2 linked regions of the Caenorhabditis elegans genome follow. The protein of the gene in region 1 interacts with the protein of each later gene in a biochemical or structural test. Each region holds a gene or a part of one and is shown on either strand. Other genes may lie near its edges. The genes, in order: lim-8 and pxl-1.

Region 1 (4,968 bases):
CTTCCATTAGATGTCTAAATGCCGTGAAACAGCTGTTCCTCAATATTTGACCATGGTCCGGGAGATTTCCGTGGCGCAGAAATAATTGGCAGATCGTTATTCCGCCAATGCAAATGACTGTATTATGGATTCTTGTGGATGCAGGAGTGTCTTCTTCACCTTCTCCCAGGACACAGCAGGACACCTGTTTCGGGCAATCAACACCGACCTGGTCGCCATTTGCATAATGTGTTTTCTTGAGGAGAAGAAAAAGAAAAAGGAAAAGAGTAAGAAGGATGGATACCTAGTTGTCGGAACGAAGACATATGCGTGTCGTTATGAAGAAACCACAGTTGAAAAAGAATGAAGGATTAGACGTCTGACGACGACACCGTTCCGCCACCTTGTTTCTTCTTCTGATCCTTCGTGTAATATTACTGCATTTTTGGCTTTTTCCTATTCTTTTGCGTTCATTTTTCTCATTTACATATCTACATGTCAAAGTGAAAAAAAAAGCTATTCCCTACAGTAATCGTACGTTCTGATAGGTCATTGGAGAATATGTTCCAGGAGTTCTAATCATAAAACAATTGTTCGTTGGGTTCAATACTTCAAAAACATCAATCAAATCAGGCGCTATTTTAACAAGTTCAGATCTAGACACGTTTCAGTATACTTCTCTTAAAACTAAAAAACTTTGTTTTCATTCCACAAATGTCCATCCTTGCCTACCAAATTGAAGTCAATCTACCATATTAAAATAATTTAAAAACATGAATTTATTGGGCCACTGCAGAAATGTAATCCATTAATGGGTCTACCCTACATTCTACCATGTTGTTTCTTTTTAGAGAGGAATTTTTAAGATGGAAATATTATGAGAATCAACTATTTTTGGAGATGAACTGCTTGTTTTTCATTATTTCAGAATTCATGGCTTCTTATGGCGCTGTGATACTGTTGTTATATAATTATATTCGGTTTTTTTTATTCTCAATGTCTTCTATTTCCCTTTAAAAGCTTCTCCGAACTTCAGATTTATATTCTTTGCCCTTATTTCCCTGTCCAAGTTTCAATTTCCCTGGCTTCTGCCGCTTTTAGACTATCTCCAAATCACCACCATCTGATAACTGATCCATAATATCTTTTGACCGACATTCCTTTTCATCTCTTCAATATTACCGACTTTTGTGTATATTTTATGATAGAGCGTACGAGACGAAGAGACGCAGACATTAATTTTATGCTTTTCTTGTGGATACGCAGAAATAAGAAGAAATAAATTTGAATATTGTTCCGAAAGGATCTGACCACTTTCTCTTCAGATTCACTCTCGTTCTCTGATTATCAAATTATCGTGTCAAATTCATTTCAATTCTGGTTTCTCCCGAAATTTTCAAAACCGATTTTATTGAATTTTATTTTCCTTAATTTATGCTTTCCGTAGTGACATTAATTTGAGAATTTTTGGATGTGGATTTCTTTACCGCTTTTGAACATACTTTTTTACAGTTTGTTTTAATTCTCGGTACCTTTTTTATTAATTGAACATTTGGATAACAAAGTTATGGACCATTGTAATAGGTTCCGTTCTTCTCAAAATCTCAAGTCTTGGTGTCAATTTTCTGTAAATGTGTGGTCGATTTCTATTTTTCTTCCTCTCTGAAGAAATGTAAACTGTCATCAAATTTCCCACAAGTTAAACGCTATTTCTGTTTGCTCAGAGGTCTTTTTCTATTTTTGTTACTCGTGTTTGTGTTCTATTTGAATTTCAGATAATCTATTTTGATTCTCTGGAAAAAACATTGATTACTTTTTTTGATGTTCTTCTTGTAACTTGACTTTTTTATTGTTTCATTTCAATTATTTGCAGAAAGTCGTAAAGATGATGGAGAATGATTACGCAGTGAAGGTACTTTCAAAGTGTTTGAATTTTTCATTGTATATTTATTAACATTTTGTGGCTAATTCATTTTCAAAATAGTTCAACGTATTCCTGTGTTTTCTAGTTATTCTAGCTTTGCATTTTTGCTGGGCAAAAGTTTGTAAAAAACAGTTAAAGCTCTGAAAACATTTTTTAGTACAGAAAAGTTAATTAAAACTCACTGTTAGATTGAGAAGGGGTTATTGGAAAATTATTTTGGAAATTAACATATTTTATTTGGCACACTGAAAAAAAATAAAAATTTAGAAATTATAAAAAGGAAGAATCAAAACTGTCCAATGTCCCATATCATCCTAGTTTTCTTGCACGCAAACCAAAACCTCAAAAATGCCCAAGAATGTTGGGCATATTAATATTTACATTTCAAGAGGGCTCACATACTCACCCCTTTTAACACACAGTCTTCACACAAAAACTAACTGATAACAGGAGACTTTTTTGTGTTTGATTGGTATTATGATCGATTTTTATCATAAATGATATGTTAAAGTGTTCCTTTTCTGTGATATGATTCATTTCTGAAATGAGTAGGATGGAAGAGAAATGAATAAAAAAGTTGAAATTTTTGAATCAAAAGTTGCGTTTATAATCAAACTACGTTCCTTTTTCAGTTAAGCATTTAGTTATTTTAAAGTTTATCATCATTTTTTAATCAAGATGATGATAACATAATACTCGTAAAACATGTTTTAAAGTTTTATCTTTTAAGTTGTAAAAAATACGTTATTAATCGCCCACTTTCACCTCTAATACTCGAAAATGATATTTTAAGTGATTAACTTCATTATGTACTTTATCGTGTTTACCTAACTTATGTCTGCCACAATAACCTTGTCGTTTCTACTTACTTTTTGTATTTATTTTTCATAAATTCAGAATAATTTCAATACATTTTTCAGGTGGCCAAGTATCCACCAAATCTTGGATCTGATTATCCTGAAGACGAATTTGGGTGAGTTTTACTTTCACCACAATAATTTTTTTGTCATTTATGATCATGTAAATCGTTCATTTAATTATGAGTGACAAGATTAATTAGGTGAATTATTTGAATTTTCAATGTCATTATAAAAGTTCTAAGGGTAGATGTAATATAAGAAAGCGGCAAAGTATGCAAATAGGTTTTAATATTCTGAAAATCAGGTTTCTTAGTCTGTTTTTTTCTCATTCTCTTTGAGATTCTTTTTCATTAACCATAGCATATTCCTCAAAATTTCTGTATTGTAGCGTTAACTACCCATTTCAATTAAGAAATTCAACAAAAGCTTTGCAGTAACAACGCATATAGGCAAAATAGGACATTTCTCCGTGGCTGGGCTGGGCCTACTACATTGAAACGTTAAAAATATATTTTGGATCATGTTCAGACATTTATAATTTAAGTTTTTATTCGAAAAAACAGTATCAAGATTCTTTGAAACGGATTTTATTTTTATTAAAACAAAAACAATAGTCATATATTCTAGACCAGTTCATTTGGGCGTGGACTTCCTTTGCAGTTTTACAAAAAATCTTTTCTTATATATTCACTAGAAAATGTTCTAGTTAGACTGTTCATTTTTCATTCCTTTTGTCTTTGAGCGTTTGCCGGTACGTGTAAACCGTTAGCCTTTCCAAAAAACCAAGCGTCGGAGCAAAAAAGGAGGGTACTCAAAGCTCTCTGTACTTACCATGCAAGCGCGAAAATTGGCGATTACGCACTCTCTTGATATTGTAGCATATTCTCAGTCTCTTCATTATTTTCTTATGTCTCGGAAAAAGAACGTAGTGACCATCTCTAACTGTGTCTCGTTTCGCCAATGGAGAGAAAATAAACAAATGAATGAGAGCATGTGAGCCGCCAATAAATGACCGGATATATGAGAGTGAGAGAAGATATTCGGCATGATTTTTGAGTCAAGGGCACTGTTACGGTTTTTCTTTTTGTTGATCAACCCTTTTTTAGTCTTATGAACTCTTTGAGCAAGTTTCTACAAGTTTCTACTTTTTCTGTATATTTCAGTCTCAATGTGGAAATGATGTTTCACAGCAACCCAACAGTTCCCAGGTTCCTCTACTAGATTAATTTAACTGTGTTTTCGATGAAAAATAACATAACCCAGTAGATATCGGATACTGCGAAAATTACCATGTGTCTTAAAATAAGTTTTACCGGGTTCCGGTAGTAGCTGCTCTCAACTCTCTGAACACTTCTCCCTGAGACGCTATCTATAGATCGCGAAACTATTTTTAAGACTGAATTACCTATTGAACTTTACGATAGTTTTCCAAAATGTACTATGTTTTTTTTTAATAAGCTCACAGTTATCCCGAATTCTATTCTCTCTGATAACTTTATATTCCTCTTGAAACCCAGATTTTCTTCACCGCAAAAGGTTTCTGGTCTCTGAAATTAGCTATTGGTAAGGCAAAAGGGACGCGAAAGCTGGAAAGAAACATCAATTACCAAAAGAGACACTTGTTTTTCGCTTTTTTCTGTGTTTTGACTTCTGACGCCTTCACATCAGATGTCCCATGTCAGAAGCTTTTCCTTTCATTTTTCTTAAAATTTATTCGATTTCTAAAAAATAATCTAGCGTTTAGGTTTGAAGTTAATAGCGGTCTCTCTCATTGTAAACTCGATCAGTGTATTAACTATTGCACATACCCTATCTGCGTCTCTATTCTAACTACAGCGAATATAGGCCTCTTTGACCTGAACTTTCCGTGCTTCCGTGGCGCAATAGGCAGCGCGTTCGGCTGTTAACCGAAAGGTTGGTGGTTCGAGCCCACCCGGGAGCGAAACTTTTTGGCTTCATAAAATTATATTTTCTTAGTAAATGAAATTTGCAGACCCGGAGCAAAAATGCTACGAGGACCGGGACAGAAATCCTCGGATCCTTTCCAATTCGTCGCCGTCAACAAAGGCGGCGACGAAATGGCTGAATCTGCGAAAAGCACACTACAAATGGCTCAACAACAGAAAGCTCAACGAGAAAAAATGTTACAAGGACAGAAACAGACGGTACGTGAGTTACCGAAGAGCCACATCCTAATTTAAACAT
Region 2 (7,948 bases), 910 kb from region 1:
GTACCATTAATAAATTTCATCAATTGTATAGAGCCACATTTTTAGAAACTGTATCATTTTTAGATCAACCGTCGTACTTACTATCTTACGGCAGCCGTTTAGTTACATTTCAATCGAATTCAATTCGAATTCCCTCAAGCCTGTGTACATCTCAATCTCTTCCTCCCGCTCATTCTTGATTCAAAAACAAAAACTTTGCCTCCATTTCTTCCCGCTCTTTTCTATGTGTCGTTTATGTGTCTGTCTCTGTATCTCTTTAACTTTCACACTATTTCCTTTTATCGTCTATCTCTTCTCTTTTTTGAAGAAACTCCTAAAGATTAAGGGCCAAGATCATGAAGAATTCCCATGTTCCATTTTCTAGTTTTTCCTTAAATCAAATAATATTCTGGTAAAATAATAGTTTCAAGAAGTTTCAAGAACTTCCAAACAACTTTCACAATATACCGTAGAAATTCATAAAAGTTTTGACATTTCTCATTTTTCATGCATGATTGGCATGTTCCTTTAGTACTCGATCCGGTTTCACAACACCGTTTAAAATGTGATCTATTCAAACGGAATATGTGATTTCAATGTATCTCTTGTCATAGGGAGACTTCTGCTACTTGGCCGAGAAAAGGGATACCTCGGTCATCGCTTTCTTTGGCGGTCATGTTGCTAATAATTTATTTAGATTTTCCAAAAATTTTTTTTTTCGAAAAAGAGAGATTGGATTACTAGATTGGATTACTGATTTGACTTTCAAGGTTTTTTTAAATATTTCCTCGTTATCGATCCCTTTTCCAAGTACCAATTATTTCCAGCAACCTGGATTATTTTCTAATTAAATTTCAATTCAATTAGCAAAAACATGTACTAGGAATATGTGTAATTGAAAAAACTCTTAACGAACTGAATTGCATAAAACCATTCCTATATGTTGCTAAAATGTCCTAATATCATAGAAAACGGTTCAAATGTTTTTTTAAAATAGTGTAGTCAAAAAGTGGCTAGTTCTCACCTTCTTAATTTTGGAATTCTACAAAAAAGTTTTTTTTTCACAATTTTAAATTTGAACCAAAATTATCTTAACACTTTTTCACAATTAAACTAAGTTTTCCTATTGATCAAGCTTTAACTAATATCAAAATGATCATTCCTATTCTGAGAAGCAAATTAATCAAATTAAAATATATGGAAAGTAGACATATCTACATTAAAAAATTTTTTATGGGAAAATAGACACTTCTAATTTAAATTTTTTTAATGAAAAGTAGACACTTCTACTTTAAAAATTTGAGAGGTGAAGTGTCTACTTACTATTAGACATCCTTTTCAATATTTTAAAAACTTAGGCTACTGGATTATTTTCTGAGGATTCCTCATCAAACTGTAATTTTTATAAATAAAAATTTGTATTTTTGTTATCCAGATGCTATTCTTTTTTCAATGTTTTGTACTTCTTTTATGTCATCTCCATAAATCTTTTTTCCTTCTCCTCCTCTTTCTTTCTTCCTTTTTTCTTTTTTTTTGTCGGCTTCTTCATCGTTTTTTGTCTTCTTCCTCCCACTTTTTTCCACTCACTCACACATATTTTGACACATTCTCTCACATTTTTAGTGGTCCCCATACACATGCATACACACTCATCTATTATTGCACTTTTCCTTCTTTTATACACCCTCATTGGTACCGTTTTTTACTATTTTGAACATCTTGTTGTAAATTCGATCAATTGATAATTTGTTGATTTTCCGAAACTTGACTAAGCCGTCGGGTTGCATTCTGAGGTTCTGAAATAACTGAATTTTGGACTTTTTATAAAATCCAATTACATTATAACTTCTAATAAAGCTCTTTCGTCCGCCTTTTAATTGTTTTTTTCTTGATTTTCTCCTGAACATTTTTTGAATATTTCAGTAAGAATGCCAAGCGACGATCGTTTTGCGGATGCGGTTAAACCAGCTTTAGGTACCCAAGAACTTTCTAATGGAGGCTTTCCGGTGGAGAAATGCTCCCAGTAGTAGTCGTAGTACTAGTTTGGAAATTATGAGTTTTTTGATTAATGGGAAACTTATTAATATTTGGATGGAATTATCATAATTTTGAAAATTTATATGATTTTCATACTTGATAGTTTTCAATAATAAAATTCTTAAAAAGTGGGTTTTCACTTTTCAATTTGAAACATTGAAGAGTTCAAATTCTGTAATTGAAACAAAAAATAAATAAATATATTATTTTAATTTCAGAAGCCCTTCTATCGGATCTTCAACACACCACAGAAGTGCTCCGCCGTGCTCATATAAGTGATCGCCGCTCACAGAGTCGTGATGATTTTGAGCAATCCTATGATCTTCAGGGAAATCTTAACACACAGAGGTTAGTTTTTTTTTAATGTTACAAACCTTTCCATACATGTTTTAACATAAACTAAACATCTAATATTTGTGTCAGTGTGAGCAATGGAAATATAACCACTTCACCCTACAAACGTCGTTCGTCAGAAGGAAAAGATTATTCAAAAAGTCAGGAAAGGATTTATGGTTTGTTTTTCATGTAAAGAACATTAATATGTAATTGTATCTGTAGAAAATGAATCAAGACTTAACCCACCAGTCTATTCACGTCCAAGTGTCCAAAGTCTATTGTCTCAAGTCGAAGAACCACCAATTCGAGCAAGCAGGTAGGAGAAAACGTTTTTTGTTTTTTTGAAAACATTTTTATCTTCGGAGTCATATTTTGAAATTCGTGGCCTAGAAAAACCTTTTAAAAAGCTATACTATGAGTCAATTTAAATATTAATTTCAAATCTTCTGATTTAATAATTTCAAGAATCTTGCGATTAGGATTCTTAAAAGGAAAAATTTAAAAAATTTTGATTGGCACTTTCAAAAAAATCTGTAAAACATTAACATCTTACATCTGAGAATGCGAAAATATAAATCAATGGCCTAGAACACACAAAAAATGTTAGACCAACAATTCAGAATTTAGAATTCTATTAGGCATTTTAATTCGAAAATTCATAATTTTTTGTAGCCTAGAAAGTTCACTTAAGGCCTCGACATTTTTATAAGATTTGTTGAAAATTGTTAATTTTTATATCAACATTTTTTGTGCATCTTCAAAAAAATTGAAAACTTATGTATATCACGAAAATTGGTTCAGATATATATTTTTTTAATTTCTAAAAGCTTTCCAGACAACAAAAGAAAAATGGCCTTTAAGTTCCAAAAATAGCTCCGAAAATAAAAATGTTGAAAATATAAAACTAGAAAATTCCGATTTGAAATGGTCAAGCCCGTTTATCAAAATGCCAACTCCGTGTTCCATTTTCCCGCCGGCTCTTAGGTCATTTCCCGTGTTTCTGCGTCTAAAATCCCGGGAACAAACAAAAACTCAAATGTGAAGGGAAGAACGAGAAAAAAGACTAATAACATACACGCATATTACTTCTACTCGTCTCATCCCGTGTCGCAAATCATCTCTTCTTCCCCGGTACAGAGGAGGAGCCGGTTATTTTATTTTTCACTGAGTTTCTTCGTCTTGCTCAGTATCTCTTGAGCTCAACAGGGGTAAAATGCTGTAGGGCGGGAGAGTACCTACTCTCTATCAAGTGAGAAAGAAAAATATAGAGAAAAGGAGCAGCACACCTTTTTCTTTTCCACGCACACAACACTTTTACCTATCACTTGGCGGAATGATGCGCGAGTTGCAACAACGGCTTGACCATTTCAATGGTCCAAATTATGCACAAAATAGTCATTCAAACCACCAACAACATCATTCGGTTTATAGCTCACGCAAGAGTCTCGGACCACCAAGTCAGGCACAATCCTACTCTGATGTCGTAAGTTTTTATTTCTTTTCGGGGGGAGCTTCTGGGAAGGGAAACTGAAATGTTTTCGTTGGGAGACCTTAATTAAAAATGTCCTTAAATTAGAATTTTCAAAATCCCAGAATCTTCATTAAACTTTCCCAATCTCTACAAATCTAATTCCGGATATTTCTGTGTTCACAAATTTTAAAACCTAATTTACTGATCCTGAACGATATGTATTCAACTTAGACGCAAACTTTATGAATTTGTAGTTTTTCCTATTTTGGTCACATGACTACAAAGTAGAAAATTCGGTCATTCTTTTAAAATAAAGGTTTCTTGAAATTTTTGGGACTTTTTGAAATAAAAATAATTTCAAAATGTTTTTTGAAATATTCAATTTACTGTCAAAAATTGGCAATTACTCGGGTTTTGCCACTGGTAATTCAAGAAATCCACCAGAATATTATTTAATTTTTGTTCAATTGTTCTAAGTTGACCATTTCTTGACAAAACTTTCAAAAATCTCAAGAAAAAATGTAGAGTGTTTAAATATGGTATTAGGTCATGATGGACTATTACTAGTATGGTTTATCAAAATCCACAATTCTTTCACTTAAACGTCATTGCTCCAATTTGAAAGATCATAAAAGATTTGGCAACATTTCACAACATAGTCTCCTCATTTAATTTGAATACATTGCTCATCTTGCTTGTTTTGTAGGATTCCATTAATCCCAAATGCAAGCGTATCCCCATAAAATTCAGATGCTCCACTACTTCCTCTGCTTCTTCTTTTCCCTTATTTTCATGTTCTGAGAGCAACTATTTGTCTCCCTCGTTTTCGTCACATTTTTCAAAAACTTTTCAGTTTCATATTTTACAACATAGTAAAAGGAGAGGAAGCAACAAAAAAAAAACGAAAAGTGGAGCGAAATTTCTGTTTGTAAAACCTTCTTTTATTGCCGCGTGGCTCTTTCTTTTACGTGGAAACACGTGCTAGAGAGTATGTGAGAAGAAGAGACACAGACGAGCTCCACGAGCAAACAGTACGGGGGGCTTCTAGAGGTTGAAGCGGGGGTGTAAATGAAGGTGAAACGATGGGAATAGAGAAAGGGAGATATTGTTAGCTTTTCCTTGGTTTTTGATGAGAAACCTTTTGGAATGAGGTCATATGGAACGATTTTTAGTGTATTTTGATGACTATTTGGGAAGGGGATCTAAATTTCGAAATTACAAAGTTCGGGTTTACAGAGGATAAATAAAAACATAGGGAAAATACTTCCATACCCCGCTATCAAAAACAGAATGACCTCGCTAAAAATACGCCGCGGCAATTTTACTAATTTTTCACAGAAAGTTTCCAAAAGCATTCTAGAAATGGATTTGTATACTTTTGTGTGGTCTAAAAGATCATTACGTAAATTAGAAAATAAAAATTACCCCGTTTTTTTGGCATATTGCACCTTTTCTGTTGCCACTTACCAATGTTCAGTCATTTTTCATTTTATTAGTTTTTCAGCTTACTTTCCGACAAAAACCTTTTTCCATTAACTATAAGTAAATATGCCAATTCCAACAAAACATACACACACAAACATAAATTTGTCATAATGGTCTCGCAACGAATGAAAACACACATTTCCAATCGTTGCCCATATACATAAAAACGTGGAACTTATAGAGATCGAACGGTCGGTCTCCATCAAGAGACCCACTGCATTCGGATTCAATGATTGGAACAATGAATGGAGAATTGAGCTCAAAACATGGAGTCAATACAATTCCAAAAGGAGATTGTGCTGCCTGTGGAAAACCGATTATTGGACAGGTGAGCGTTTTAATAAAACAATTCTAGAATATGTGAAAAGTTCTAGGATTTATTAATTTCGCTGTGTATTACTGTTTGGCATCCTGAAATTTAATTCTGATTAACTGTGACGTAGGACAGTTCAAAATAATGTTCTCGCGGTATTTAGTTAAACTACGAGACTCTAGAAATTTCCTCAGAATAGTTTTAAAAAGAATTATTAAATTTCAACTTTGGAATGTCCAGAAAATCAAATTTGAAAAATAAAACCATTTTTCAGGTCGTCATTGCTCTTGGCAAAATGTGGCATCCGGAGCATTACACTTGCTGTGAATGCGGTGCCGAACTTGGACAACGCCCATTCTTTGAGAGAAATGGACGTGCTTTTTGTGAAGAAGATTATCACAATCAATTCAGTCCAAAGTGCCAAGGATGTCATCGAGCCATCACTGATGTAAGTGACGTTACAAAATTCTTAGTCATAAATATTTGGTACAATTGGATAATAGTGAATACAGAATATTGTGCATGATTTGTAGTATTTCCAGTTTTGAATGTACAACGAAAAACGCCGATTAGTGGAGTTTTGCAAAAATTAATGTGGACACAAGTTTAATAGTGTTTTTTTTTGTTAATCATCTTGAATATATTTTCATGAAATAAAAATGATTAGAGAAACAAAATTTAAGTTTCCAGAGATGTGTGAGTGTAATGAACAAGAACTTCCACATTGAATGCTTCACGTGTGCAGAATGCAATCAACCATTCGGAGAGGATGGATTCCATGAGAAGGTTGGTTAAAAAAATCCGTTTGAAAAGCCTTTCAGTTTACACTTTCAGAATGGACAAACCTATTGCAAACGTGACTTCTTCCGTCTATTCGCCCCAAAATGCAATGGCTGCTCTCAACCAATCACCTCAAACTTTATCACCGCTTTGGGAACTCATTGGCATCCGGATTGTTTTGTCTGTCAGGTATTTTTAGTTCATTATCATTTGTTAAACAAGGAAGTCAATTCAAAAATTAAAGAAACCATCGAAAACCGATTGTGCGGTATGTTTCTTGTCGGTGTCTCTCTATTCGTCTATTCGTTTCGTTTTTTTTTTCTTACCCCTTTTTATTTTTAATGAGTGGAGCAAATTGGCTTGTGTGAAGTGCCAGAAAATATTATAATGAGAGGCTTTTCGTTGATAGTATGCTGCAGTGATAGAGTTTTGTGGTTTTTTTAATAGTAACATTTGAAGTTAAAAAAATAAAACTATATAAAACTAACTATAAGTGTTAGGTTTATATATTTTTAATTTTGAGCCAACTGACTGAGTTCACATGGGACCTATAAAATGTGCAAATTTACAAGTTTGATTGAACCTTCCAAAACTTCATATTAATAAAAACCTTGACCCCTAATATATTTTATAATACCATTAAAAAAGATGTTTCGGTTTTTCGGTTTATTGTATCTTTCCTTACCTAGTCGATATAGACATAATTAAGCATGAAATATTTTAGAATTATTCCTTTAGCTGTAGTCAATAGTTTTATTTTTGGAATAAAATATTATTTTTATTTTGGTGTGTCATCTGTAAACTTCCCTAAATATATGTGGATTGTTCTTTACAGCATTGCGGAGTTTCTTTCAATGGTGCAAGTTTCTTTGAGCACAACGGTGCTCCACTCTGTGAGCGACATTATCATGAATCTCGTGGTTCAATCTGTTCTCAATGTCGTGGAGCCATTAATGGAAGATGTGTAGCTGCAATGGGAAGAAAGTTCCATCCGGAACATTTTAGATGCTCATATTGTAATCATCAACTGACAAAAGGAACATTCAAAGAAGTTGATCGTCGGCCATTCTGTCATAAGTGTTATAATAATACGTATGCATTGACTCCTGCCTAATCTTTTTTTTTCTCTTTTTTGTCTCTCCTGTCTTTTTGTGGTTTTTCAAGTTTTTTGAAGGTGGTAACTGGAAAAGATAATTCAGTAATAGTTTAGAATATTAGGCTTGGATGAAATCGAATATAATATTTTTCTCTTTGAGATTTTCTAGTTCTCTAATGCCATACTTTTCAAAAATTTAAGTGTCAGCTAGCCTAAATCCATAGACTTCAGCTTGACATACAGGATTAAGCCTAAGCCTAAACCTATACCTTAACTTAAATTCCAGTCTACTCAATTCAAAAACCTTCCACCTTACCACACGTCCATTGTATAAAATATGAAAAAAAAAAGTAAATCAATTTTCAAAAAAAAACCAAAATTTTTATTAAAATTTCTACGCATTTCAAAATCAAAATTTCCTCCCCACCGCCATATCAAACTTTTCCCCCAG

The links.
Region 2: the proteins of lim-8 (region 1) and pxl-1 form a complex in vitro, tested with the Caenorhabditis elegans proteins (one study listed by BioGRID).

What each region holds. Positions count from the first base shown.
Region 1 is NC_003281.10:6,800,936-6,805,903, forward strand, and holds the start of lim-8 (PDZ domain-containing protein), read left to right. Parts: upstream 1-1,852; 5' UTR 1,853-1,867; coding exon 1,868-1,891; intron 1,892-2,823; coding exon 2,824-2,876; intron 2,877-4,293; exon of another isoform or gene 4,294-4,498; intron 4,499-4,632; exon of another isoform or gene 4,633-4,705; intron 4,706-4,726; exon of another isoform or gene 4,727-4,756; coding exon 4,757-4,928; intron 4,929-4,968.
Region 2 is NC_003281.10:5,889,966-5,897,913, reverse strand, and holds pxl-1 (Paxillin homolog 1), read left to right. Parts: upstream 1-1,902; 5' UTR 1,903-1,907; coding exon 1,908-1,953; intron 1,954-2,234; coding exon 2,235-2,364; intron 2,365-2,439; coding exon 2,440-2,528; intron 2,529-2,574; coding exon 2,575-2,668; intron 2,669-3,627; exon of another isoform or gene 3,628-3,685; coding exon of another isoform or gene 3,686-3,783; coding exon 3,784-3,835; intron 3,836-5,489; coding exon 5,490-5,636; intron 5,637-5,895; coding exon 5,896-6,069; intron 6,070-6,311; coding exon 6,312-6,407; intron 6,408-6,455; coding exon 6,456-6,590; intron 6,591-7,236; coding exon 7,237-7,515; 3' UTR 7,516-7,641; downstream 7,642-7,948. UniProt on the Caenorhabditis elegans protein: Required for myofilament organization of the pharyngeal sarcomeres and for pharyngeal muscle contractions and hence for pharyngeal pumping. Together with lin-8, might be required for myofilament organization in the body wall muscles.